Oryctolagus cuniculus: one gene and its partners. The protein of the gene in region 1 purifies or fractionates together with the protein of each later gene. This does not show direct contact. Links are inferred from orthologs where the notes say so. Each region holds a gene or a part of one and is shown in the gene's direction. Other genes may lie near its edges. The genes, in order: STX7, NAPG, PTTG1IP, NAPA, VAMP4, SNAP29 and SNAP23.

Region 1 (4,157 bases):
GAAGGACCTCCACTCCTTAAGCTCCTTTGAAGAAAATACTACATCCTACTTACCTTGACATCTGCAGTACTTGGCATGTGGCAGGATCTCAATGAACATTTTCTGAATGAATGAAACAGTAGGAAAGATTCTAAATTCTGAATTAGGCTATCTGGACCTGTGCTGTTCATAATTTGTGATTTTCATATTTCTTTGGGTTTCGGTTTCTTTAATCTATGAAATGAGGAAGTGGCACTAGATTTTCCACAAGGGTCTCTCCAGCTTCAGGGGCTGTCACTGCTGCCTACTATTTGAGTTCAAACACATACTTTGTCTGATCAGAGAATGTTTCATAACAATTTGAGAACATCAAAAAAGAAAACTTCACATATCACACACACACATACACACACAAATAGAATTTCCACTATATCCCGAAAAGCAGACAATTTGACTTTATTGGCCAATATTCCCAAACATTCACAATGGTCATATCTGAATCACACTGCCTTTAGGTGAGGGTGTGCCCTCTACTTGGCCAGCAAGCCCATCTCTTTGTATTATTTCCATCTCACAGAGGTAAAGACTAGTCCTGATGTATTCAGGGATATACATGTGCATGTATAACACCAAACAGCCTAGAATTTTCTAAGTAGTACTAATTCAAAACACTTTGTGCTTAGTGTTTTGTTTTGCTTTTCTAAGTAGCCCTAGACTTCTCACTTAATCTTATGATCTTTTTGGAAAACAATGTTGCCTTGATAGGAGCAAAGGCCAAGCCATTGTATCTTCTAATTAGTTTAGTAAAGTATTTCTCTCACTTGAAGCAACTGATGCTTTTCAGGTAATACTTCCTATTGAATATTTATTATTGGAACATTCTCTTCCAATTTTAAAGTCCACGAAGATTGCTTCTTGCCTTTCAAGGATGTTTGGACTGACTTGCGTGATCAAGAAAAGCTAGTCCACTGAGTGAGTACCCGGGGTGTTCCCCTGTCCCTTCATTGTTCCTGCTAGGATGGCGTATCTGCGTTTGCATTTTCGAATGGAGCTGTGCATTCGGTCTACGGCGGAGTTAAAGGTTAGGAAAGGAGACAGGGAAGAGCCTAAGGCGGGGGCGGGGTGAAGGCACGAGTCCAGGGGGTTGGCTTCATGGGATGAAGAAGACGAATACCCTCCATTTCCTCCTCTTTTCTTCTGTATGCAGGCTAAGGCTTCCACCATTTGTGTGCCCGCCTTCAAAGAACTGCCCCCTGCAATTTTGCTGGCGCTTCCATTCCTTCGCTGTGAACCAGAGGGGGCGGGAGAGGTTCTCTGTCACTCAGTCCCTAAAGCCAATGGGTGAGGAGCTAGCCCCTCTAGCCTCGCCTTCTTCTCCGGGTTACACTGGGAGCATGCGCAGTGGGTGTTCCTGTGCCGCCGCCCATCAGCTGAGAGTTGCAGCTGGGGGCTGTGGGGCCCCGGGGTGACAGCGGCCGCTGGAGGAGGAGGAAGCCGAAGTGGTCAGGGTAAGAGAGGCGTGGGGCAGGGGGCTCTGGCTGGGCGGCCGGAGTCGCGGTGTCCCTGCAGCGTTGCCACCTGCTCTGTGCGCTTGGTCCGCCGGCCGCCGCCCTGAGCTCTGCGGCAGACTCGCGGGAGGCGAAGGGCGGGTGCTGCCCGTGCTCCCGGAGCGCCGGCCGTCCCCAAGCCCCCCGGGCCCGTCGCTGGACCCGCACTCGCGGCCGAGGTGAGGCGGTTCGGCCGGCCTCGCCAGCTCCGCCAGTCCGGCGCTTGCCGGGTGGCAGCCGCCTGGAGCCGCCCAGGGCTGCGCTCCCGAGGCTGGAGAGAACAGACAAGAGACCTCTTCCTCCTTTTAACTTACGGGTCGACAAACACATGCTTGAAACTTCCCGAAAACAGGGGCACGAGAGTCAAATGCTTGTGGTAGACAAACCCTAGACGTGTGTTCAGCGGCCCTTTGTGTTTGGCTTTGGTGACTTTGACATGCCAACTTTCTTTTTATTACATTTTTAAGGCCTTGGAAATCACAATATTTTAAGAATTCCGAGCACCTCCATACCCCTCTCTTTCTTTAAATTTAGACAGAATGGGTTAATAGGAACATTGCTTTTATGATCAAATGCTGTGTTTTCTCTCTCATATTTCTGACATTTGCTTGGCTCTTACACTTGTGTATTCGTTTTTTGTACCTCCGATCACTGTATTCGACACAGTTATATATAATTTAAATCTTGCCCGGAATCTGGAAGAAAAGGAAGTAATTATGAAATGCTGTACTGTTTAGTAATGTCGGAGGTGGGTGTTCCTTCTGCTCTGAGCTGCACCTGGGCAGAGACTGGGGGAAAAAATGTTCCACTACATCTGCATCTGGTGTTGTGGATCAGCCTCAGCCTTGTGACAAGTTAGAAATTGGGCTGTAGTTTGAAAGTGTCTAATGAGTATCATTCACTTCTACAAAGTTTATGTCATTTTTCCTTCAGATGTTTTACTTATGCTGCAGATAACAAGTCAATTCTAATTTTAGTTATGTTCCCAAACTTCAGCCAAGTACTGGTAGTTGAAAATTAAATTATATAAAATATCTGCAGTAAGTCTGAGTGAGGCTTTCCTGTGATTCCATGTAATTTGAAAGCTTAATGTGGGAAAAGTGAAAACAAAGCCCTTGGTAATGTGAACTAACACTGAGTAGTGTAATGGCTCATCCTGTGGAGGTAGTGGCTTGAGGAATGCCTCTGTTGAGCAGGTGTAGAGATTACTAAGCCGTAGTGAGCGCTCTCACTTTCATTGAGCATCTACTGTGCACCTGGTACTACACGTACCACAAGATGACAACGTTGGATATCTGTTGTGTTCCAAAGATGAGGATAGACATAAGCATATGCCAATTAAATAATTAGATAGTGATGAGTGTTAGGGAGCACTGAGAGAGAATGACAGAGTGGCAGGAGTGGTGAATTCTCACATCAGGCCTGGCTTTCTCTAGCATGTGATAGATAACTCCTGGGAAAAGTAGCCTGTCCCGTGCAGATCACGGGAAAGAGCATTCCAAGGTTGGGAAATGGCATCAGGCACAAGACAACCATAACCTTGGGGCATCCTTTTGGGATCTGAAAGAGGCTTTGGAATCCAGTGCTTTAGAAATGGAAGTGTGAATGTACATCAGAATGCTTATGTAGAAGTAGAAAGAAAAGATAAGTTTATTTTGGTGCAAAACGTTTTTGAAATTCACGCATAAATTTTTTGTGATAGGTATTTTCCATGAACTTTCTGAAGACCCCTTATATATACCCTCAGGATGGGTCCATGTCTCTCAGAAGTATGGTCATTTTATTCATTTGTTCTACAAATATTAATTGAGCACCTATTATGTACCTGAATTCTGAAAATCAAACAGTCCACACACATACACACACACAAGTTATCACCCCCATGACTCCGGGAACTTATGTATTGGTGCACAACCTGCAAAGAAATTCAGTATTATATGCTGGTGCTGATGATTGAGAAAGTGAAACTGACCACTTCTTTGCCCAGCCTAGATTTAAAGAACACAAGATCTATGCTTACTGGAATCTTAAAGGTTCTGCAGCATGGCCACTGGTAAGTGAGGACAGTGTTTGTCACCCAGGGTTCCATTTTGAAATTCCCTTTGTTCCTTTAGAAGCAGTCTGAGAAGACTCGTTATGAGTGCTGCGCTTTGATCTACCCTGCCCCTTTTTCTCTTTGTAGTGCCCAGACCTCGTATATCTCCACAAAGATAATTACCGAGGTGAGATCAGCATCATCCTCGCAGAACTTGCTGCAAGCATGGAAGTGGACGGTCCAGGAGCTGTCTGGGCTTTGGACACTAGCCACATACAATCTTTGAACCCTTGAGAGGTTGCTGTTATGACTCAGGGCTGAATTTTTCTTTTGACTTAATTGTAGTTTTAATAGCTTATGGAGTTTGTGACTACTCTGTTAGACAGTGCAGGTCCAGATAATGTTATGTAATTGTCAGTCTGAGGAATGAAACTAGGAATTCTAAATGGACTTTGAAAGGGATTCCATAAGAGTGCTTTAGGCAGTAGCAGCTTGAGCTAGGTCCTGAAAACAGATGTGGAAAGCAAACATTTGAAAAACTTGGCAACAATTTAACCTGTATGCAAAGTTCATAACCTTTTAGGTCAGTTTATAGT
Region 2 (4,012 bases), on another chromosome or scaffold:
CCCCATCTCATCATTTCCCATCAGGCCCCATCTCTAAACACCAAATAGAAATGAAGCATCTATTCTACTTGTACCATTAGCATAAGACTTTGGGGACTAGACTGTTTGAGAGGATAAACATTCACATCATAGCAGTGTATGCAGGAGAGAATGGCTAATATGATAAAACATGGACTTTGTGCTGGGTAGAGAGGGAAGTATACGAGCAGAAGGATGGGAAAATGGGATGGGATGTGTTGAAGGTGAAGTCTCATAGGCAGCAGAATGTGGGGGCTGGAATGACAGGAGGGTGGAAAGTGGGCTGGTTGAAATTGACACAGTGAAAAGCAAGGGCAAGAATATGACCTGGGGAACAGGTGGCTGAGCTGGGGTGATGAAGGAAGGATGCTTATGCATAACTGCCCAATAGTAATTATCACAACAGACTGCTGGAACCACGAACTTACCTGGGTAGGGCACTGCCGCCTCTCCCAGCAAGTACTTCTGCAGACAGCCACCCAGCAATGGCCCTGCCTCAGGCTCACGACTATCTTGTTACCAAGCACCGCGGTGCAAGATTATTGTTTCAAACCTCTGATGTAATCCACTTCATTTTTTGCCTTTAAAAACTTCCCCTTGCCTCAGTCTCTGAGCATGCCCATAAGTTGCCTACGGGCTGCATACTCCTATTGCAATGCTCTGTTAGCTTCAAGTATCAACATTCTCTGCTGTTTGTTTAGCTCGGTTGGAAACGGAGAAGCTGAATAGGCATTAGAGGAATCACCCGAGTGGGCACTGGACTCACCATGGATTATGAATGGAGCCAAGAGTAGTACTCACTACTGTTTTTACTAGGCTGTCTCAAGCGACCCTTCCACAGTTTGGAACACGGGAGTGAGTCTGTGACAGTAATCAGGGGTTACAGTCTGTGTTGCTTATTGACTGACATTTAACTGATGCTCAACAGGCAGAATGGGTGAACAAAATTAATAGGATTCCAGCTATGGCACACACAAACTTCAGATCTGATAACCAGTCCCCTAACTCTACAAACACAATGCACAGGTTTTCCCATGAGGGCAGGGTTTTTGTTGTACTCCCTACTGATCTTCCGAGGCCTGCAGCAGTGCCTGTTTGGTCAACGAACAAACATGCCCCCTGCAGTAACTCCACCACACTGCGCTAAAGCTCCGGGGCCAAGCGAGCCCCCGTTCTGCGCCTGCGCGCAGTCTCGGCGGGAGCGCGGGCTTGGCTTCCGGCCGCACTTCGCCGCAGTAGATTTGAGCCCTCCGGCCCTCCGTTGCGGCGGCCGTGTCGCGCTGTCCCGGCTTCCTTCGCGGTGTTCCCACGCCTACTCGGCCCTGCTTTCTCGGGGCTCACGGAGGAGGCGCCGTCGCCCTCCACGTCAGGGATCGGGCGGTGCAGATGGCGGCTCAGAAGATAAACGAGGGGCTGGAGCACCTCGCCAAAGCCGAGAAATAGTGAGTGAGGGACCCTCCCGTGGGCTTCCCTGGCGGGGTCCTCGCACCCGGCGGGAGGGCACCGGGACTGGGATCCGCGGCTCGCTGACGCCCAGGACGCTGGCGGGGGCTCTGGCCGGGGCCGGGCGCTGCGCCTGGGGATCGAAGGTCGCCCGACAGCCGGAAGTCTTCGGCGCGCGGATCCCGTGCGGTGCAGAGCGGGCTCCCGGTGCGGAGTTCGCTGCTTTCCGTCCAGCCAGGGTCTCTGACCGCGGCCCTCGGGGCAGGGTGGCTGCCTGGGTGGGGGCTGGCGTGTGCACTGTGGCACGTTTGGCAGCGTCCCTGGCGTCTGTCTAGTCAGTGCCAGTAGCACCCCCCGTCCCCTTCCCTCCTTTGCGACAACTCAAATATCCCTGGGGAGCGAACTCTTCCTGTTGAAAACCGCTGCTGTGGAAGAATCCCAGAGTTATGGAGGGGGCTGTAGATTTGTCCCGAAAATCCGTCTGCAGACCCTTCTCATCTGCCAAGCCTACTGCTCTGGGAGCGACAGCTGTGCCTTTTCTCCCTTTCTGTGTCGGTCCTGTCGCCATACGGGTACGGTACACAGTAGGCGCTCAGCTCCTGTTGGTGGAACTGCATTGATTCTCCTTAACCAATCCTTTTGACCTCACACCCCTCTCCCCCAAAATCGTCACTGCAGCGAATGTTTTAATCTGGCATTTCTCCATGCTGAAAAACCGCCACTGTGGGCTGGGGGGTGCTTCCATTCATAATTTGCTACTTCGAGACAGCTTTCCAATTGGAGAGTCTCCTTTTACCGCTTGCTCAGGCTGTAGTGTTGAAAGATGGATGAGCCAGTTTTCAAACTGGACAGTTCAAGCGCTTTCTGTTCCTCCATGTTGCTTCCAGGCCCGCGGTCCTGGGGCCGTCTGTTCAGGAGGCCCCCACAACGTCTTTTTTTTTTTTTTTTTTTAAGATTTATTTGAAAGCGTTACAGAGAGAGGTAGAGACAGAGAGAGAGGTCTTCCATCCGATGGTTCACTCCCCAAGGGCTGGAGCTGCGCTGATCCGAAGCCAGGAACCAGGAGCTTATTCCAGATATCCCATATGGGTGCAGGGGCCCAAGGACTTGGGCCATCTTCCACTGCTTTCCCAGGCCATAGTAGAGAGCTGGATCGCAAGTGGAGCAGCCGGGACTCGAACCGGTGTCCATATGGGATGCCAGCACTGCAGGCTAGGCCTTTAACCCGTTGAGCCCCAGCACTGACCCTGTCTCACTTTTCGGCCATTGGAGGGTGAACCAATGGCAAAGGAAGACCTTTCTCTCTGTTTCTCTCTCTCACTGTCCACTCTGTCTGTCAAAAAATAAATAAATAAATAAAAATAAAAAAAATAAAAAAGTATAATTAGAGTGGTGTGTATGTGAGAAGGACCATAGTACAGCTTATTATCTATGAAGAGTTGGGGCCAAGTATGAAGGGATGGCCGTGAACCCTAACTTTTCTAGGCAGTGAATAACCAGTGGGCCTGCTTAGCTTTGGTTTTGATGAAATAAATATGGGAGCATTGCAGGGCCCAGGGCAGCTGTGGCGTACTCAGTAGGCAGGGCGACAGAGTTGTTTCTCTGAACCCGCGCCAGCCGCTGGGGGATGCTGGAGTAAGCAGAAGTAGCCTCTCCCTGGAGAGCTCAGATGCACAGGAGGGTAGGTGAGTGAGCAGTTGAGGGAAACAGGTTTCCAGCGCTAGCGGACAACCTTCCATGGGGAGGCGGAGATACGTGGCAAGGAAGAGCTGGAGTGGGGGAGAAAGGCGGGGCTGTTAGCTCCGCCTCCAGGTGCTGTGAGACCCATCCGTGGGCTGTGTTAAAGTAATGGTCCTGGGGCCAGGATCCAGGGACATTTAGTCACCGTAATGACCTGCTGGGGTATGGAGGTGAAGCTGGCACCTGGGTTTAACCTGGGAGATGGAGTGAGGAGGGTGCCTGCTGTGGTAATGGGTATAGGTGAATGGGCCCAGTTACGGGGAGGCTGGGGCAGGGAGATGCTGGATTCAGGCTTGATGTGTTATGCTTAAGTACCTTTAGTTGCTCAATGGTGGCAGAAAAAATGGGTCAGGAGCTTAGGAAAAGAAAATATGATTTTTCTCTGTTTTCTAGTGATGATGTAGTTCAGTATTACTGAGTAGTTTTATACTGAATCATCCCAAAGGCAAGCATTTGGGATAACACTTAAGATGCAGCTCGGGACCCTGGCATCCCATATCAGAGTACCTGGTTCCCGACTCTTCTCCCGATTTCAGCTTCTTGCTGATAGGAACCTTGGGAGGTGGCAGGTGATGACCCAAGTGGTTGTGTTCCTGCACCCACCAGATAAAATTCTGGGTTCCTGCCTTCATCCTGGCCCAACCCATGCTCTTGTGGGCATTTTGGAGATTGAACCAGTGAGGGGAGAACCTCCCTTTCCCCCCTACCCCCACCCCACTTCAAATAAGCTAAATTTTTAAAAGTCTTCCCAAATTTGTGGTGCTTTTCCTATAGAAACTATCAATTTCCTATTGACTCTTAGGACAGAACG
Region 3 (3,500 bases), on another chromosome or scaffold:
GTGACATGCGGGCTCCCGGACTCGTGGAGGGCTTGAGCAGCGTTGGGAGAAGCCTCGAAACTTCTCTGCGTCACCTTCCTAACAGCAGCCGTTCATGCCTGAGGCAGGATGCCTGGGGCCCTTCTACACAGAGTGGTTGCCATGGTCCCCACGTGACCCCCCCCCCCCACACACTCAGGGCCAGGCCCTCACGCAGACAAGGTGTGATGCACACAGTGTGTGCCTGGGGTGCCAGGGTGTGGAGCTGCTCAGAAGCCAAGCAGTGTGGTGAGGGCGGGCCCTGCGGCGGCGGTCTCGGGAAGGCTGCTCGAGGCAGAGCAAGCAGACTGCAAGCGGGGCCTGGCAGCTCGCGGAGGCTGTGGCCTTGCTGGGCGAGGCGACCTGGAGCTCAGCTGTAGGGCGTTGACTGAAGGGCAGTGAGGGTGAACGCAGACGCACTGGGAGGCCACGGCATTACAGTGGCCCGGGGGAGAGGGGCGGCCGTGCGCAGAGGCCGTAGGAGCAGTGGGTGGTGCTCAGGTCCTGGCCATTCTGCTGCTTTGTTGATCTCTTACAGTGTCTGTGGTGCAACACTAACAAGGCATGTCTGGACTACCCGGTCACGAAAGTCCTGCCACCTGCTTCTCTCTGTAAACTGAGTTCTGCACGCTGGGGTGTGTGCTGGGGTAAGTTGTTGTGTTCATTTGCTTCGTCAGTGCCTTCTTTTCTTTTTTTTCCTGAAAATTCTGCAAATCACAGTGAACTTCTGCATGCAGATACAGGTTCTCCCCACTCAGAGCAGACTGTGCAGGGCATGTCCAGCACTTCCGGAAGAGCCTGATAGCCTGTTCCCGTCAGAACCTCGGGGGCGGCCACTGTGCTGACCGCCCGTCACTACGGAGTTGTTCTGCTGTTGACTCTCATAGAAAGAAAACTCTGCCCGTCGCCCTTGACCTCACTGTTCCACACAGCTCTGGTTAGCCTTACACGGTTTGCCGTGCAGGTCTGAGTGACTGTACCAGTCGTGTTCTTCAAGCAGTGTGGGGCATCCCGCTGCCCCACCTCCTCCCGTCTCAGGGTAGTCAGCCGTCCCAGCTTAGACCATCTAGGGAGTGTGCGGTCCCTTCTCACTGTGGTTCTGTTTTGCATTTCTCCCATGATTAATGATGTCGACTGCCTTTTACGGGGATAGGTGTTTTCTGTGATTCTCATGTGGATGAATCCCTACCCCGAGTTACAAGGATTGCCAAACATGAATCCAGCCTTGCCCAGATGAGATTGACAGCAGTCTGTCATAGTTGTTCGATGTGTCCCGCATGGCCGTAGCCCAGGAGGAGGACACGTAAGCCACACAGGAGAAGCAGTCAAGGATGTGAGTGCAGCTCACAAGGACGGGGTGCCCCCTCATCCCAAGTTTGGTTGAATCTGAGGGCTGAGAAGGAACCAGAGCTGTGCTCAGGGGTAGGGTGGCCCTGTGCCTGGCCCCGCAGTAAGGAAGGAGGGCTGTTTGGGCCCCTGTCAGCGGGAGCTGAATGGAGGATCTTGGGGGAGCCACTCAGGGCCTTCCTGGTTTCTCCAGAGGTCCAGGTGCCACCTACACAGGGTGCTTCCTCTTACAGATGATTTTGGAATCATTGTATCCAGTTTGAAGCAGATATGCGGAGGTTTTATTGCAGGAACTTCAGTATGCGCTCATTCGGAGAAAAGGGAGCCCCTTTCCATGTGCCTCTTGTTCAGAAGCCAGTTGTCGCCTCTGCGCTTCCGTTTGGCCTTTGCATTCCTTGGTAGAGATTCTTGCGTTTTGGCCTTGCAGGGTGAACACAAAAGGGGCCCCTAGTTTTGCTTCCCATTGTGACAGGACTTCTTTTTTCTTTGATAACTAGTGTCAGCTGCTAACCGGAAAATGTCACTGATCTCATCGGTTTTTAGAATTGCTTTTTCTAGAGGGCTCTAGAAAAGTATGCCGTCTCCAGTGAAGGGCTGCTTTCTGTTCACGCCACCACCATGTCTGCTCCAGTGAGGGCCTGCTTTCTGTTCATGCCACCGCCATGTCTGCTCCAGTGAAGGCCTGCTTTCTGTTCATGCCACCACCATGTCTGCTCCAGTGAAGGCCTGCTTTCTGTTCATGCCACCGCCATGTCTGCTCCAGTGAAGGCCTGCTTTCTGTTCATGCCGCCGCCATGTCTGCTCCAGTGAAGGCCTGCTTTCTGTTCATGCCACCACCATGTCTGCTCCAGTGAAGGCCTGCTTTCTGTTCATGCCACCCCCATGTCTGCTCCAGTGAAGGCCTGCTTTCTGTTCACGCCACCACCATGTCTGCTCCAGTGAAGGCCTGCTTTCTGTTCATGCCACCCCCATGTCTGCTCCAGTGAAGGCCTGCTTTCTGTTCACGCCACCACCATGTCTGCTCCAGTGAAGGCCTGCTTTCTGTTCACGCCACCACCATGTCTGCTCCAGTGAAGGCCTGCTTTCTGTTCACGCCACCGCCATGTCTGCTCCAGTGAAGGCCTGCTTTCTGTTCACGCCACCGCCATGTCTGCTCCAGTGAAGGCCTGCTTTCTGTTCATGCCACCACCATGTCTGCTCCAGTGAAGGCCTGCTTTCTGTTCATGCCACCACCATGTTCTGCAGCTTCCTTTGTACGAGCAGGTCAGAGGAGGAAAGGCATGATTTTAAAGCTCAAGCAGCATTTGATCAGGTGTGACACTTCTGCTGATTTGAAGACGAGGTTAGAGGCTAAAAATGCGCTCAGTGCGCAAGTAGCTCCCAGGAGGGGCATCTTCACAGCAGGCCTAGTGGGTGGACTGTGGACGCCCAGAGCACTGGGTGTCAGCCTCCCTCCTGCTGAGGCCAAGTTACCTGAAAAACTTCACTTTCCAAACCTGCCGCAGCTGAGAGAACAGGAGGCTAGAAAGCATGGCTCTGTGTGGTGGGAGATTTTAACTTTGGAATCGTCCGTGGACCCGCTGCTCAGAGGAAGTTTGCTGTCGGCCCTGTCTTCTAGAAGATGCTGTAATGGCATTGAAAAGCATATTTGCAGAAGCAGCATTTGAGGGGGTTGGCGCTGTGGAGTGGCAGGTAAAGCCACCGCCTGCAGTGCTGGCATCCCATATGGGTGCCGGTTCAGGTCCCAGCTGCTCCACTTCCCATCCAGCTCTCTGCTGTGGCCTGGGAAAGCAGTAGATGGTGCCCCAAGTCCTTGGGTCCCTGCACCCATGTGCAAGACCCAGAGGAAGCTCCTGGCTTCGGATCGGCACAGCTCTGGCCATTGCAGCCATCTAGGGAGTGAACCATCAGATGGAAGACCTTTCTCTCTCTCTTTCTCTACCTCTGCCTGTCTGTAACTCTACCTTTCAAATAAATAAGTAAATCTTTAAAAAAAAAAAAAAAAAGGGGGGGCGCAGCATTTGGAATGAATCCAGCTCTGCTTTGAATTGAATAGAAAAATCTTAATGGGTTTTAATTTGTAGCTCTTGAAAAAGATTGTAAAACTTGTATTCTATCTGCATTTGTAGTTCTAA
Region 4 (4,138 bases), on another chromosome or scaffold:
TGCCTATTGCTTTACATCCGACAGCCTAAAACACATGACAGCTTGGTACCGGTGCTGCTTGGACAGGCACGGGACCGAAATTGCCTGTGGCGATCCAGACAGACGTCCGCCGAGGCTGTGGTCCGCACACAGCGGCCGCCACAAGCAGCGGCTCGGGAAAGCGCTTCCTGGAAGAGAGCTGGGCGAGAGGTCGGCCTGCCGTGCCCTGGTCAGTCAACCCCAGCCCCGCACAGCACTGCGCGTGCACACGCCGGTCCCATGCTGGGCGGGGCTCTGGAAAGAAATGGACTCCTGTGCCTCGCAGGCTCAGAATGGGGATCGCGACAGGGCGGGCCCTGCAACCTGACTCTGTAAAGCAGCTTTTCAGAATAGGTTCCCAAAACTCCAGACCCCACAGCTTCCCCACGCTTGCCATTAGGCTGGTACCTCTGATGCAGTGAACAAGCCGATCTGGGCACCGTGTGGCCGGCCAGCGTCTGTGCCCTGACTTCTTGAGGTCAATCCGACGCCACCCTGCACTGAGCAGCCGTGGCCCCCTCGGCTCTTACTAGGGAAGGGGAGCAGTACTAAAAATCAAGATCAAGACACCAGGCAATGCTGGAACCGCCGGCAGGCAGACAGCTTGACTTGCGGCCAGCGGCCAGGTCGAGCTCCCTGCCGGACGGCTGGCCGGGGAAGCCGCCAGGACGGAGGGCCCACGGCGAGAGGGGCCCCCCGCGGCGCCAGCAGCGCCCCACGCTCTGCGCGGCCCCGCGGCTCAGACTGGCGAGTCCGGCCCCTGGGAAACAAGCTCCGGGGGCGACGCCTCTCGTTCTCTGCCCCGTCCCTGCGTCCCCCTCTCGCCTGAATCTCGCACGCGCGGCTGCAGGCGCTCCCATCTGTCAAGCACTGCACGGGCCTCCCGCGCCAGTTTCAGCATCGGCCGGCAGAGGGCGCAAGAGAAAGCAGAACGCTCCCCTTTTTTCCCACTGAGGCCTTTTCGAGTGAAAGGAACCACGCGAGACAAGGCTTAGAGGCGGGACTAAAACACCGAGCAAGAGAACTGTCAAACCCAGGCGTGCGCCGGAAGTTGTCACGTGACAGCCGCCGCTCCAGCTGACCCGTGCCCAACTTCCGCAAGGTGGGGCGGACCCGAGCAGAGAGCGGCTGCTGATTGGTGGAAAGGCAAATACTGCGGCAGCACTTTGGGGGTGGGTCCCTGACGGTGAGGGCTACGATTGGCTAGTGCGGCGTCACGAGGTGGTGGGTGCGGAGCATCCGGAAGAGAGGCGCAAAACAGGTGGCTACGCATGCGTCGAGAGTCACGGGGCGGTGCGCGGCGGCCTGCCGGGGCGTGGCCAGCGGGGAGCGCGCCGCGCTACGAGGTCCCTGATTGGCCAGTGCCAGTCACCTGGTGCCCGGCCTCGGGCGGCGCGCGCCGGTGCGACGTCAACGCAGCCAGCTAAGCTCCCGGGACCTGTGTACCGCGGCCCGGCCGGGCCTGAGTCCTCCCAGGGCCCGGGTCGGGCGGTTCGCTGAGTTCGCTCTGCGGCCGCCATGGATAACTCGGGGAAGGAAGCGGAGGCGATGGCGCTGCTCGCCGAGGCGGAGCGCAAAGTGAAGAACTCGCAGTCCTTCTTCTCAGGCCTGTTCGGGTAGGAACCAGGCCGAAAGGTCGGCCGGGACCTGGGCTGGGGGCCGCAGGGGTCACGGCCTGGGGTGGCGGGGGAGGCGCGGTGCGGGGGCCGGTTTCCAGGGAGAGGGCCGAAGGGGCTTGGGCTGGGGACCCACGGGCCCGGGCGACCACCTCTTGAGGCGGGGAAGGGGATCCAGGCTGAAGACGGGCTCAGAGGCCAGCGGAGACCTGGGCGAAGGGGATACGGGCAGTGGCCTTGGCGGGGACCAGCCGCGGGGGCCAGGTTCCAAAGCCTTCTCAAGCCCTCGGGGGATCTGTTTGAGGGGTCGCGCCGGGGCCTGGGGCTGGGGCCACCTGCCCAAGGGGCTGACCTTCCCGAGCCCAGGCAGGGGGCTGCTGCGTAGCCCTTCGGTAAGGACAGGGCTCGCACAGGGCCTGAGGGCTTGGGGACAGGACTAGCGGCTGCCATGCGGCAGGCGCCCACGGAAGTTGGCGGCAGCTCAGGGCCGGCCGCACTGAGGGGCTTTGGGGTGCGGCTGCCGCTCAGCCCGCGACCTGGGTGAGTTTTAATCTCCCCGACGAAGGGGTAGCCAGTGAGAGCTGTCTCCTCCCCGTCGATAGCCGGGCGGCGTTGGGCTGGCGGATGGCGAGCGCTCCGAAGTGGTGGCTGGCAGTGTTGGGAGTGCCCTGCAAGGAAAGAGGTGTGCGGTGATGGGGGCTGGTAGAGAGCCAGGCGGGAGCCGGGGAGCGGCTCAGGAGCCGAAAGGGGCAGGGAAGGCCTGCGGACCGCGGGGCTTAGCGGGGTCAGGGCACGGGCCGGGGAGGGGTAGCGGAGGTCAGCGGGAAGCTTGGGGGGTCAGGGCACGGGGCCGGGGAGGGGTGGCGGAGGTCAGCGGGAAACTTGGGGGGGTCAGGGCACGGGGCCGGGGAGGGGTGGCAGAGGTCAGCGGGAAGCTTGGGGGGTCAGGGCACGGGGAGGGGTAGCGGAGGTCAGTGGGAAGCTTGGGGGGTCAGGGCACGGGGCCGGGGAGGGGTAGCGGAGGTCAGCTGGAAGCTTGGGGGGTCAGAGCCGGGGAGGGGTAGCGGAGGTCAGCGGGAAGCTTGGGGGGTCAGGGCACGGGGCTGGGGAGGGGTGGCGGAGGTCAGCGGGAAGCTTGGGGGGTCAGGGCACGGGGCCGGGGAGGGGTAGCGGAGGTCAGCTGGAACCTTGGGGGGTCAGGGCCCAGGAGGGGTAGCGGAGGTCAGCTGGAAGCTTGGGGGGTCAGGGCCGGGGAGGGGTAGCGGAGGTCAGCTGGAAGCTTGGGGGGTCAGAGCCGGGGAGGGGTAGCGGAGGTCAGTTGGAAGCTTGGGGGTCAGGGCCGGGGAGGGGTAGCGGAGGTCAGCTGGAACCTTGGGGGATCAGGGCCGGGGAGGGGTAGCAGAGGTCAGCTGGAACCTTGGGGGGTCAGGGCCAGGGAGGGGTAGCAGAGGTCAGGGCACGGGGGCCGGGGAGGGGTAGTGGAGGTCAGCGGGAAGCCGCTGAGGCCGAGCTTAGGACGGGGAATGGGACTGGGGTTTGCTGCAAGCCGGGGAAGGGGGTCTGGGAGGCGGGGGGGGGAGGGTCTTTCCAGGAGACTGAGCCTGCCCTTGCTGCTGGAGGTGGGATAACAGCAAAGGAAAACGTCCGGGTCCTCATGGGTTTTGTTGTAGACTGAGTGGAGACCGTGTGTGTGCGCATGCGTGTGTGTAATTCAAGTGCGCTGTTCTGAGGGTGGCTGGTGGTGTCTGGTGCCCTTGGCCCAGGGTTAGGGCCCCGCTGGGCTGCACCGGGGGGGGGGCGGGCAGCTAAGCCAGCCTGGGACAGGCTGCTGGGTTGGGATGGGGAGCGCGACACTTGGCGTGGACTAGTGAGGCTGGGTTGTTGGTTGTAAGGTGGGCTGGGTGATGTCCTTCAAAGCCTGCAGGACTCGGGCGGACGGCGCCTGGCATGAGTGCTGTGAGCAAAGGCCTCACCTGGTGACAGGGACGGCCAGGGGTGGTCTCCCTCGGGCGTGATGGGCCATCGGGGGAGCCGTGTGCTGCGGAGCTGTGAGGCGCGGCCTGTGAAGGTTTAGTGCAGGGGGTTGGGGCTGGGCCAAGGTGAGGCCACGAGCGAGCGAGGGCCTGGACTTGAGCCGAGCCCGAGAGGAGAGTGCTGGGTCTGAGCAGCGACTGGGGACGCTGCCGCCCGTGCTTCCTGACGCCGGGCCTGGCGCTTCCGTCCTCGCCAAAGCCCCGTGGATAGCGGAGGCCTAGAGACATCGCCGTAGGTGCTGGAGCAGCATGCGCTGCCCGGCCTGGCGCTCACTCTGCCCTGCCGTGCCGCAGCGGCTGCTCCAGGGCCAGGGCCAGGGCCGAGCCCCCAGAGCTCTGCAGTGGGGAGGGCGCGGCACACCAGGTCTCGGGGAGCTGCCGCCCTCTAGCCCCTCCCCCCCAGTCTTCCACGGGAGAAAGGAAGCAGCTTTGGGGCCTGCGCTGCCCCGACGCTGGCACCCCGCATCGGGG
Region 5 (3,500 bases), on another chromosome or scaffold:
TGTAGGATCTCTGTCCTTAATGTGCTGTACATTATGATTTAATGCTATAACTAGTACTCAAACAGTATTTTATACTCTGTGTTTCTGTGTGGGTGCAAACTGTTGAAATCTTTACTTAATATATACTAAACTGATCTTCTGTATATAAAGAGAATTGAAAATGAATCTTGATGTGAATGGAAGGGGAGAGGGAGTGGGAAATGGGAGGGTTGCGGGTGAGAGGGAAGTTATTGGGGGGGAAGCCATTGTAATCCATAAGCTGTACTTTGGAAATTTATATTCATTAAATAAAAGTTAAAAAAAGAGCAAATAAAATATTAATTAAGACAAAAAAAAGAACTGTGATGCACTTTATTTCTTATTTTAAATATTTCATTGTCATGTTTACTCATAAAGAAATTTAAAACATTTTTTTGTCTTGTGGCTGGAGCAACAGAGGAAAACTAGACACTTAAAATATTTAAACATTTCTGTTTTGGCGTGCTCTGAATGAAAGTTGCTAGCTAAGTATCAGTTTTTAATTTTTAAGTTTTGGCTAAACCTTCATTGCCCACACCATAACCTAATTTAACAGAGGAAAACATTTTTATTTGGAAGGACAACAAAAACATTTTCCTCTTTGCTTCCTGGTTGGTACTTCAGTATATTCCTGGGTGTTCCTCGTTGTCTTGAGCCCTGTTTGTTTTAGAGAAAAGTGACAAGTCGTGAAGAGTTATTCTCATTGAGCATCAGTGTCTCCTGGATTATGCCTTCCATTTCCATTTTGGAAACTAGATTTTTTCCATAAGCTTCTAACACACCTAGACAAACTACTTTGTTAGCCTTTGTGTGTGAAGTCTACAGCAAAAGTCAGTATGGCTTTACATGCTCCCTGGAGAGCCCACTGATGAGCAAATGAAACTGATAATTTAGGTTTAAGCTGTTGGACTGAATTCTGCAGTTGTTGAACATTCTGACGGTACATTTAATTTGATTATGAGTTACATTACTGGTCAGAAGCAGAACAATAAATAAACTGTCTCTGAGTTATATCACAGTGTCTGTAAGTATCTGAGTATCAAGCCCACAAATGGAAGAAAATTGCTACAAAGCTTTAAACTGAAGTTTTATAGTTTAATAGTTTGTTATTCTCTATCCTGTCTAATGAAAACTTAAAAATTATAAACATTCTCAAAGAATAATTTTTATCTTTTTTTAAACTAGTGTTCAGAATCAGGTGGATGAAGTTATTGATGTCATGCAAGAAAATATTACAAAGGTAATTGAAAGAGGGGAGAGACTAGATGAACTACAAGACAAATCAGGTACACAAACTTCATATATTTCTTGATATTATTAATCTATGTTTCTGCTAGTTTATATCTTCTCCCACTTGTGTAGCCAATGTTTAGGGATCTTGGCTTGAGATTGGCATTTGACTCCATTTATTTTGAATCAGTTAACTGTGTTCTTTAATTGGTCAGTTGAGAATGGAATATTTTATAAATACCTGTTGAGTGAAGAGTAAAGCTATTTTTCCTTTGCTCTGTTATTTTGATATGCTTTGAGTTTCTCATGGCATAAAAATCTTAAGGCATAAAAATCTAATAACTTTTTCCCAACCCTTATTTTAAACTTCAGTGATTTTTTTAAAGATTTATTTTTTACTTGAGAGTCAGAGTTACACAGAGAGAGGAGAGGCAGAGAGAGAGAGAGAGAGAGAGGTGTCTTCCATCTGATGGTTCACTCCCCAGTTTGCTGCAACAGCCGGAACTGCGCCTATCCGAAGCCAGGAGCCAGGAGCTTCTTCCAGGTTTCCCACTCAAGTGCAGGGGCCCAAGGGCTTGGGCCATCTTCTGCAGCTATCCCAGGCCATAGCAGAGAGCTGGGTTGGAAGTGGAACAGCCAGGATTAGAACTGGCGCCCATATAGGATGTGGCGCTTTAGGCCAGGGCATTAACCCACTGTGCCACAGCGCCAGCCCCGATATTTTTAATTTATGTTTTTTTCTTGCAACTCAGTAACTTCCCTTTATTAACAGATGTTAACCTGTATAGATGTAACAGTTCCTCACACAAATTAGTCACTTGAATGGTAAATGGTTGAATACTTGATCAATCCTTGACAGGTTGAATACCTGATCAATCCTTGACAGGCTTGCTTAAACAAAAACCTTGCTTAAGCATTTTTCAAATTCATATTATTTTCCCCCAGAACTATTCACTTTCAGTATCTTCTAAGAGTTAATCCTTTCCATATGGAATTTATTTTTTCTAGAGATGTGCCAAGTATTTGTATTTTTAAAGAGTATTTTCTTACCCAAATTTATTAGTTTATTTATAAGCATGGAAGTCCTTGGAAGATTTTTCTTAATTTTACAGTAAAAATGGATTGGACAAAGTAACTTGCAACTGTTTTTTACCTTTTGTTTCTATTTTTAAACAATGTAGTATGCTAGAGTGTGTGGGTGGAAGAAAGGGAGAAAGTTGTTTTCATGCTTTTTTAAAAGGGAACACATTTGCATATGTAGAAATTTAATATTTTCTTATCTTTGTGTGACTAGATAAAAGAATCCTGTTATATCGTTTAATACTTCTCTCCATCCTCTATGTGATATAGAAAGCTTATCGGATAATGCAACTGCTTTTAGCAACAGATCCAAACAACTTCGAAGGCAAATGTGGTGGCGTGGATGCAAAGTAAGTGAATCAAGATAGTGGATAGATTGGCCAACATCTCAAGTGTGTTCAAAGATGTGAAGAAACTGGGACCTTAGAGCATAAGTTTCATGAAGACAGGACTACTGCTGTCTTACTTATTGTGTCTCCTGAACTTGAGACATGTTGGGAACTCAATAAATATTTGTTGAATTAATAAATTACTTTTGAGACAGATATAAGTAGAATAATCAAGCAATACCTACAAAGATGTTTATGTCAATTTCTTCATAAAATAATCCCCATTTTATTAATAACTACTTCTAAACTTACTATCTTAACAAATATACATTTTTCTTATAATTTATTTTTAGTTCTTATTGGTGCAACCTATAGTATATAAGAGATGTTAAAAAATAAAAGTATAACTAGAGAAATATATGATTTTCCATTGAAAAAGGGAAGGTAAAAGCAATTTGTCAGAATCAGTAATGACAAATGGGTTAAGAGAAAGTCCCCAAATCCCTCATTATGCAGAGAAAAAAGAAATAAATGAATTTTTTAACACAGAGAAGATGAGAATTACAATATGCTGCAAAACATTTCATAGAAATTAGTTCATCTCTTAAATCAAATATGGTTACTAATTATTAAACACCAAATGTTTCTTTTAAAATTTTGTAGCAAGTTTCATATCATGAGAGCAAATCCTTTTTTCTCCTGATTCTAGGTATGATTTTGGTTTTGTTGAAAGTCTTAGACATAAGCTCATTGCTTTTATTCTCTCATTTTCAAGTTTAGCAATAACTTTGTAAACTCACCTTTCCATATGCTAAGGAGATCTTCCGAAAGTTGTCTTGGGTT
Region 6 (3,500 bases), on another chromosome or scaffold:
GAGACCCAGAAGAAGCTCCTGGCCTCAGATCAGCTCAGCTCCAGCCGTTGCAGCCATTTGGAGAGTGACCCAGCCAGATGGAAGTGCTCACTCTCTCTCTAACTATGCCTTTCAAATTAATAATATAAATCTTTTAAGCAAAAAATGATGACGTGCCCTTCACAGGTGACAGCGTCTGCCCCGACATGTGCTTCGCATTTATGGAGTACCCACATGTGGTTCTCATGGGCCAGGGAGAACTACCAGAAGGATAACTGCCACGTGTCTTTCCTAGGAGCTCGTCCGTCAGCGAGGAGTCTTAGAACGCACGGAGAAGATGGTGGACAAGATGGACCAAGATTTGAAGACCAGCCAGAAGCACATCAACAGCATTAAGAGCATGTTCGGGGGCCTTGTCAATTACTTCAAATCCAAACCCGCAGAGGCGGCCCCTGAACAGAATGGCACCGGCACCCCCCAGCCCAACAGCAGGTGAGTGTAGCAGAAGTGGGCTTTGGCGTGAACGGAAGACTTCCAGGCCTTGGCCGAGCCATGAGGGGATTCAGGAAGCCTGTAAGTTATACTTCAGGAGGGTTTTGTGTTAACCCATCTTCCCACGCCTGATTATATGTATTTGATTGGCACCTAGTCTGCAGATTGTGCATAAGTTGGGTTTCCAGTAAATTCCTGCTATACTGATTGTCACCCCAGTACTGAGAGTGTTCACCTCAGAAAGTTAGATCAGGCTGTAAGGGACTCCCTACACAATATCTGTACTTTATTTTTTTAAAAGATTTATTTTATTTATTTAACAGACAGAATTACAGAGAGAGGTAGAGACAGATAGAGAGGTCTTCCATTCGCTGGTTCACTCCCCAGATGGCCACAATGGTCAGAGGTGTGCCAATCCAAAGCCAGGAGCCAGGAGCTTCTTCTGGGTCTCCCACGTGGATTCAGGGACCCAAGCACTTGGGCCATCTTGTACTGCTATCCCAGGCTGTAGCAGAGAGCTGGATCAGAAAAGGAGCAGCCAAGACTAGAACTGGCGCACATGTGGGATGCCGGTGCTTCAGGCCAGGGCTTTAACCCGCTATACTGCAGAGCTGGCCCCAGCAGTATCTGTACTTTAAAAAGTCATTTTTCCCACCCAGGTGTTCTACATATAATTCAATTTGCCCATTGCTTTTCACTTTTTTATTTATTTTCATTTACTTAAAAGATACAGGGGCAGACACTGTGGCACAGCAGGATAAAGCCCCAGACTGCAGCACTGGCATCCCATATGGGCACTGGTTCAAATCCTGACTGCTCCACTTCCAATCCAACTCCCTGCTAATGTGCCTGGGAAAGCAGTAGAAGACGGCCCAAGTCCTTGGGCCCCTGTAGCCACGTGGGAGACCCGAAAGAAGCTCCTGGCTTCGGATTTGCTCAGCTCCAGGCATTGAAGCCATTTGGGAAGTGAACCAGCAGATGAAAATTTCTCTCTGTCTCTCCATAACTCTCTTTCAAATGAATAAAAACAAATATTTTAAAAAATAATACAAAAGGCATAGAGGGATTTTTCCATCCACTGGGTTACTCCCCAAATGCCCACAACAGCCAGGGCTAGACCATGCTGGAGCCATGAGTCAGGAATTCCATACAAATCACCCACAGAGGTGGCAGAGCAATAAGGCCTTGAGCCGTTGTCTGCTGCCACCTGGGAGCCTCAGCAGGAAGCTGGACCTGAAGCAGAGGAGCTGGTCCTCAAACCAGCACTCTGCTGTATCGGGCTGTAGTCTTCCCTGAAGCTGAGTGGGTCTGGGAAGAAAGGAATGTTGGTAAAGAGCCAGTAATGGTAGCAGAGAGAAGAGGTGGGGGAGGCTCCGGGCGTCTGGATCGGACACTGCAGGGAGGAAAGCAGGCCTCTGCAATGCCCTGGGGCTACTCCCGTAGATGCACCAGGGTTGATTTGTCTGGCTTAGGCCCAACCACCACTTCGCGCAGATTTTCCAGCTTGACCCTGATTTTAATTAATTACTTCTGAGATTTATTAATTCATTTATTTGAAAGGCAGAGTTACAAAGAGAGAAAGAGGGAGAGACAGAAGCAGAGATTTTGCATCTGCTGGTTCCCTCCCGAGATGACCATAACAGCCAGGCCTGGGGCAGATTCAAGTCACGAGCCAGGAACTTCATCTGAGTCTCCCACGTGAGTGCAGGGGCCCAATTACCTAGGCCATCTTTGCTGTTTTCCCAGGTGCTTTAGTAGGGAGCTGGATCAGAAGTGGAGGAGCCGGGACTCAAACCAGCACTCATAAGCGATGTCAGCATCACAGGTGACAGCCCTACCTGCTATGCTGCAATGCCGGCCCCGACCCTAACTTTAAATCCCTGTCACTCTTTCTCATAACAGAATTGGGTTTTCCTTTGGCTGCTTTTTTTTTTTTTTTTTTTTTTTTTTTGACAGGCAGAGTAGACAGTGAGAGAGAGAGACAGAGAGAAAGGTCTTCCTTTTTTGCCGTTGGTTCACCCTCCAATGGCCGCCACGGCTGGCGTGCTGCAGCCGGCGCACCGCACTGATCCGATGGCAGGAGCCAGGTACTTATCCTGGTCTCCCATGGGGTGCAGGGCCCAAGTACTTGGGCCATCCTCCACTGCACTCCCTGGCCACAGCAGAGAGCTGGCCTGGAAGAGGGGCAACCGGGACAGAATCCGGCGCCCCGACCGGGACTAGAACCCAGTGTGCCGGCGCCGCTAGGCGGAGGATTAGCCTAGTGAGCCGCGGCGCCGGCCTTCTTTGGCTGCTTTTAATTATAGATGAGTATCCCTCATCAGAAATGCTTGGGACAGAAGTGTTACAGATTTTAGTTTTTTTTGGATTTTGGAATATTTGCATAGACTTTACCAATTGAGCATTCCTAATTCCAAAATGCTCCAAGATCTAAAACTCAGCAGCGCTCAAGAAGTTTCAGATTGGGGGCAGGGCAGGAGTTGTGGCACCGCAGGTTAAGCCACACTTGGGACACCTACATCCGATGATGGAGCACCAGTTCAAGTCCTGGCTGCTCTGCTTCTGATCCAGCTCCCTGCTAATGCTCCTGGGAGGCAGCAGAGATGCAGCGAGTCAAGTACTGGAGTCTGTGCCACCCACCTGGGAGACCCACATAGAGCCTGGCTCCTGACTTCAGCCTGGCTCAGCCCTGATTGTTGGTCGTTTGAGGACTGACCCAACAGATAGAAAATCTCTTCCTCTCCCTCTGCCACTCTACCTTTGCAAATAAATAAATCAATCTTTTTCTAAAAAGGTTTAGGGTTTTGGAGCATTTAGGATTTTAGGTGTTCAGGCTAGGATGCTCAACCTGTGCCACAGGAAAGGTAGGATGTTCATTTAGTTTATTTTTTTTTTAAGATTGATTTATTTATTTGAAAGTCAGAGTTACACAGAGAGGAGAGGCAGAGAGAGAGAGATCTTCCATCCCCTGGTTCACTCCCCAAGATGGCTGCAATGGCTGGAACTGTGTGATACGGAGCCAGAAGCCA
Region 7 (3,500 bases), on another chromosome or scaffold:
ACCAGAAGCCAAGGGAACCTGAGAAAATCAAATGATTGCAGTTTGCAACTTGCTAACAGCTTAGTGAAGATTTGACAGAAGTACTATCTGGGCCCTTTAAAAATGATTTGATGTCAGTGGGTTTACTAATTCATCTTTTTCCTATCCCATGTTGCCATGAAGTGAAGCATAGATTCAGCAATATCAGCTTTTCTGCTAGATTTTAGGGTCTTCTTCAAGATGAACAGTACTAATTATTACAACTGTCCCTCTCCTGCTTTTTGGTATCTCCGTATTCCTGACTCTTAATAGGACGAAGAACTTTGAGTCTAGTAAGGCCTACAAGACAACATGGGGAGATGGTGGAGACAAGTCGCCTGGCAATGTGGTGTCTAAGCAGCCGGGCCGGGTAACAAATGGTCAGCCTCAGCAACCAAGCACCGGGGCAGCCAGCGGTGGATACATTAAACGGTATGCCAGCTCCTCCCTCTGTCTGCGCCTTTCTAATCTCTCACGTGAACCTAACTTAGCAAATAGAAATAGTGCTTTTTCCATTTTTGAAATATATTTCAGAATCTGCCTGTGACAAAAACGTTGACTGTGGTTGTTGCCTGTGGATGATGGAATTAATTTCTCCTTATACTTTTCAGTACTTGACTGTTACTGGAGTAATATTTTACTTCTGTAGATGGAAAAATATGTATCATGTAGAGCAGGGACCGGCTGGGTTCCTGTAAAGGGTCAGGCAGTAAATACTTCATACAGTTGCAGTTGCAGTTACTCGGCTCTGCTGCTATAGAACATAGCCACATAGCATGCATAATCAAATGAGCATGATTTATTTTTGGGGGCTGGCATGTAGCACAGCAGGTTAAGCCACTGCTTGTTTTCAGCATCCCATGTTGGAGTCTGGTTCAAGTCCTAGCTGCTCCACTTTTGATCCAGCTCCCTGCTAATGCATTCACTCCCCAAATTGCCTCAAGGCTGGGACTGAGCCATGCTGAACCCAAGAGCCAGGAACTCTATCCAGGTCTCCCACATGGGTGGCTGGAACCCAAGCACTTAGGCTGTCATCCACTGCCTTCTCAGGACATTAACAGGGAGCTGGATATGAAGTACAGCAGCCAGGACTCAAATTGGCCCTGTAATATAGGATGGGATGCAGGCCTTGAATAGGCCCTCTAATATGGAATGCAGGCATTATAAGTGCTGTCTTAACTTGCTGCACCACAGTGCTGGCCCCTGGATAAACTTTATTTACAAAATCAGATCGCAGGCCAGATTTGGCCTTTTAGCCGTAGTTTTCATACCTCTTTTAGAGCAGTGGTTCATTGTACCTAAGCATGCATTAGAATTACCTGGAGGGATTTATTAAAATATAGATTGCAGGGATGCAGTAGAACTAGAGGTTGAGTATGAGAATTAGTGTGATCCTGTGTCTAACAAGTTCTCAGGTGATGCTAGGAATCACATTTTGAGAAATACTGTTCTTGTTCTATAGTTGTTTTCTAATCTTCTCCTCCATGGTATTAACAAGCTGTGCTCTCCTTGATCAGTCTTTCAATTTTTATTATTCAGTAAACCCCAAGAATAGTAACTTACATCCCCTTGAATATTTTTATGAAAATTAAATCCAGACTTAGGCCATTTTAATTGGACAGAAATAATTAACTATCTTTTTATCATAGTATCACTAATGATGCCAGAGAAGATGAAATGGAAGAGAACCTGACTCAAGTGGGCAGTATCCTGGGAAATCTAAAGAACATGGCCCTGGACATGGGAAATGAGATTGAAGCTCAAAATCGACAAATAGACCGGATTACAGAAAAGGTAAAGTCTTTTTATGACCACAAGAAAATGAGACATCCAATTTGTTTTTTTTTTTTTTTAACTTTTATTTAATGAACCAATTTGTTTTGATAGTGGACATCTGTGCTCGATACTTGGGGGAAAACAATTAGAGCAGATCTTGTCCTCCTAGGACTTACAGTTTTGATGAGGCAACATTTTCTAGCACACTGATAAACAAGAGCCACATCTTCCTGTCTCTTGTATGGCAGTTGGTTAATTTGAAAGCATGGCATCGCAATGACTTCATACATGAAACTATTATTATCTTTGATGGTGCTTTTATTTATTTTTTTAAAAACCCTGAATAAGTTCACTTTTTTGTTTTAAATATTTATTTATTTGAAAGGCAGAGGCAGAGTTACAGAGAGGCAGAAACAGAGAGGTCTTCCATTGCTGGTTTACTCCCCAAGTGACCGCAACAGCCAGAGCTGGGGAGATCCGAAGCCAGGAGCCTGTAGCTTTTTTTTTTTCTTCTTACTTTTTTTTTTTTTTTTTTACTTTTTTTCCTTTAAGATTTATTTATTTATTTATTTGAAGGGCAGCATTACAGAGAGGCAGAGAGAGAGAGAAAGAGAGAGAGATCGGTCTTCCATCCACTGGTTTACTCCCCAGATGGCCACAATAACTGGAGCTGCACTCATCTGAAGCCAGGAGCCAGGAGCCAGGAGCTTCTTCTGGGTCTCCCACGTGGGTGCAGGGGCCCAAGGACCTGGGCCATCTTCTACTGGTTTCCCAGGCCATAGCAGAGAGCTGGATTGGAAGTGCAGCAGCCAGGACTGAAACCGGCACCCATTTGGGATGCCAGCACTGCAGGCAGTGGCTTTACCTGCTACACCACAGTGCCAACCCCTATAAGTTCACTTTTGAAATTTTATTTTTTTTAACTAATAAATTAATAAGTTCCTGAATCCTCACCTCCTGAAAGTGTTAGTAGCAAATATCATTTCTGCAGGATGGTGTTTGTGGAGTATTCATACAAGAGTGATATGATTAATGGAAAATAGATTTTATTTTTCATTTTTACTTCACATGATCAAAAAGATACTGAAAGTAAAATTATTTTCAGTGTTTGGATATGTCACATCTAAAGATCATACTTCATTTAAATCTCAGACTACTTTAAGGGATGGGGTGAGTTTTTAAGTTTTGCTATCCAACCACTTTTGCTAGATTTCATTGAAGCAAATAATGGTTCATAAGGTACTTTCAATGTTGTGGTCTAGGTTTAGGCTACATATTACTCATCATTTAAATTCAGATATTGATGTGGGTGGTAATGAATCTGTCACAGAGATCTTTGGGAAGGTTATTTCAGTCTGTGTGGATTAGATCTAGTGTAGCTCCAGCTGAGATTCTATGATTTGGTTCTAATGATTCTCATTAAGATCCAGGTCTATAACAGATAAGGACATTTTTCTGTTTTATTTTATCAAAAATCCCATTGATTAGGGCTGGCACTGTGGCATAATGAGTTAAGCTTCTGTCTACAATGCCAGCATCCCATAAAGGCACCAATTCAAGTGCTGGCTGTTTCACTTCTGATCCAGCTCCTTGCTAATGTGCTTGGAAAGTGGTGGAATGGCCTGAATCCTTGAGTCCTTGCTCCCACATGGGAGACCCAGATGAAGCTCCTGGCTGTGGTCTGGCCCAGCCCCAACTGTTGTGGC

What was found.
Region 2: the proteins of STX7 (region 1) and NAPG purify together in Homo sapiens (affinity purification with mass spectrometry; 3 studies listed by BioGRID and IntAct, counting the BioPlex papers as one, with this or other methods). This does not show direct contact. The link is inferred for Oryctolagus cuniculus from reciprocal best matches to the Homo sapiens genes STX7 and NAPG.
Region 3: the proteins of STX7 (region 1) and PTTG1IP purify together in Homo sapiens (affinity purification with mass spectrometry; 3 studies listed by BioGRID and IntAct, counting the BioPlex papers as one, with this or other methods). This does not show direct contact. The link is inferred for Oryctolagus cuniculus from reciprocal best matches to the Homo sapiens genes STX7 and PTTG1IP.
Region 4: the proteins of STX7 (region 1) and NAPA purify together in Homo sapiens (affinity purification with mass spectrometry; 4 studies listed by BioGRID and IntAct, counting the BioPlex papers as one, with this or other methods). This does not show direct contact. The link is inferred for Oryctolagus cuniculus from reciprocal best matches to the Homo sapiens genes STX7 and NAPA.
Region 5: the proteins of STX7 (region 1) and VAMP4 purify together in Homo sapiens (affinity purification with mass spectrometry; 3 studies listed by BioGRID and IntAct, counting the BioPlex papers as one, with this or other methods). This does not show direct contact. The link is inferred for Oryctolagus cuniculus from reciprocal best matches to the Homo sapiens genes STX7 and VAMP4.
Region 6: the proteins of STX7 (region 1) and SNAP29 purify together in Homo sapiens (affinity purification with mass spectrometry; 3 studies listed by BioGRID and IntAct, counting the BioPlex papers as one, with this or other methods). This does not show direct contact. The link is inferred for Oryctolagus cuniculus from reciprocal best matches to the Homo sapiens genes STX7 and SNAP29.
Region 7: the proteins of STX7 (region 1) and SNAP23 purify together in Homo sapiens (affinity purification with mass spectrometry; 3 studies listed by BioGRID and IntAct, counting the BioPlex papers as one, with this or other methods). This does not show direct contact. The link is inferred for Oryctolagus cuniculus from reciprocal best matches to the Homo sapiens genes STX7 and SNAP23.

The regions. Positions count from the first base shown.
Region 1 is NC_091436.1:36,549,354-36,553,510, forward strand, and holds the start of STX7 (syntaxin-7), read left to right. Parts: upstream 1-1,357; 5' UTR 1,358-1,487; intron 1,488-4,157. UniProt on the Homo sapiens protein: May be involved in protein trafficking from the plasma membrane to the early endosome (EE) as well as in homotypic fusion of endocytic organelles. Mediates the endocytic trafficking from early endosomes to late endosomes and lysosomes.
Region 2 is NC_091441.1:67,737,920-67,741,931, forward strand, and holds the start of NAPG (gamma-soluble NSF attachment protein), read left to right. Parts: upstream 1-1,212; 5' UTR 1,213-1,404; coding exon 1,405-1,460; intron 1,461-4,012. UniProt on the Homo sapiens protein: Required for vesicular transport between the endoplasmic reticulum and the Golgi apparatus.
Region 3 is NC_091435.1:1,731,988-1,735,487, forward strand, and holds part of PTTG1IP (pituitary tumor-transforming gene 1 protein-interacting protein), read left to right. Parts: intron 1-556; coding exon 557-665; intron 666-3,500. UniProt on the Homo sapiens protein: May facilitate PTTG1 nuclear translocation.
Region 4 is NC_091449.1:10,127,484-10,131,621, forward strand, and holds the start of NAPA (alpha-soluble NSF attachment protein), read left to right. Parts: upstream 1-1,338; 5' UTR 1,339-1,536; coding exon 1,537-1,634; intron 1,635-4,138. UniProt on the Homo sapiens protein: Required for vesicular transport between the endoplasmic reticulum and the Golgi apparatus. Together with GNA12 promotes CDH5 localization to plasma membrane.
Region 5 is NC_091438.1:26,827,091-26,830,590, forward strand, and holds part of VAMP4 (vesicle-associated membrane protein 4), read left to right. Parts: intron 1-1,203; coding exon 1,204-1,304; intron 1,305-2,598; coding exon 2,599-2,678; intron 2,679-3,500. UniProt on the Homo sapiens protein: Involved in the pathway that functions to remove an inhibitor (probably synaptotagmin-4) of calcium-triggered exocytosis during the maturation of secretory granules.
Region 6 is NC_091452.1:29,626,593-29,630,092, forward strand, and holds part of SNAP29 (synaptosomal-associated protein 29), read left to right. Parts: intron 1-274; coding exon 275-471; intron 472-3,500. UniProt on the Homo sapiens protein: SNAREs, soluble N-ethylmaleimide-sensitive factor-attachment protein receptors, are essential proteins for fusion of cellular membranes.
Region 7 is NC_091443.1:65,560,024-65,563,523, forward strand, and holds part of SNAP23 (synaptosomal-associated protein 23), read left to right. Parts: intron 1-291; coding exon 292-450; intron 451-1,667; coding exon 1,668-1,812; intron 1,813-3,500. UniProt on the Homo sapiens protein: Essential component of the high affinity receptor for the general membrane fusion machinery and an important regulator of transport vesicle docking and fusion.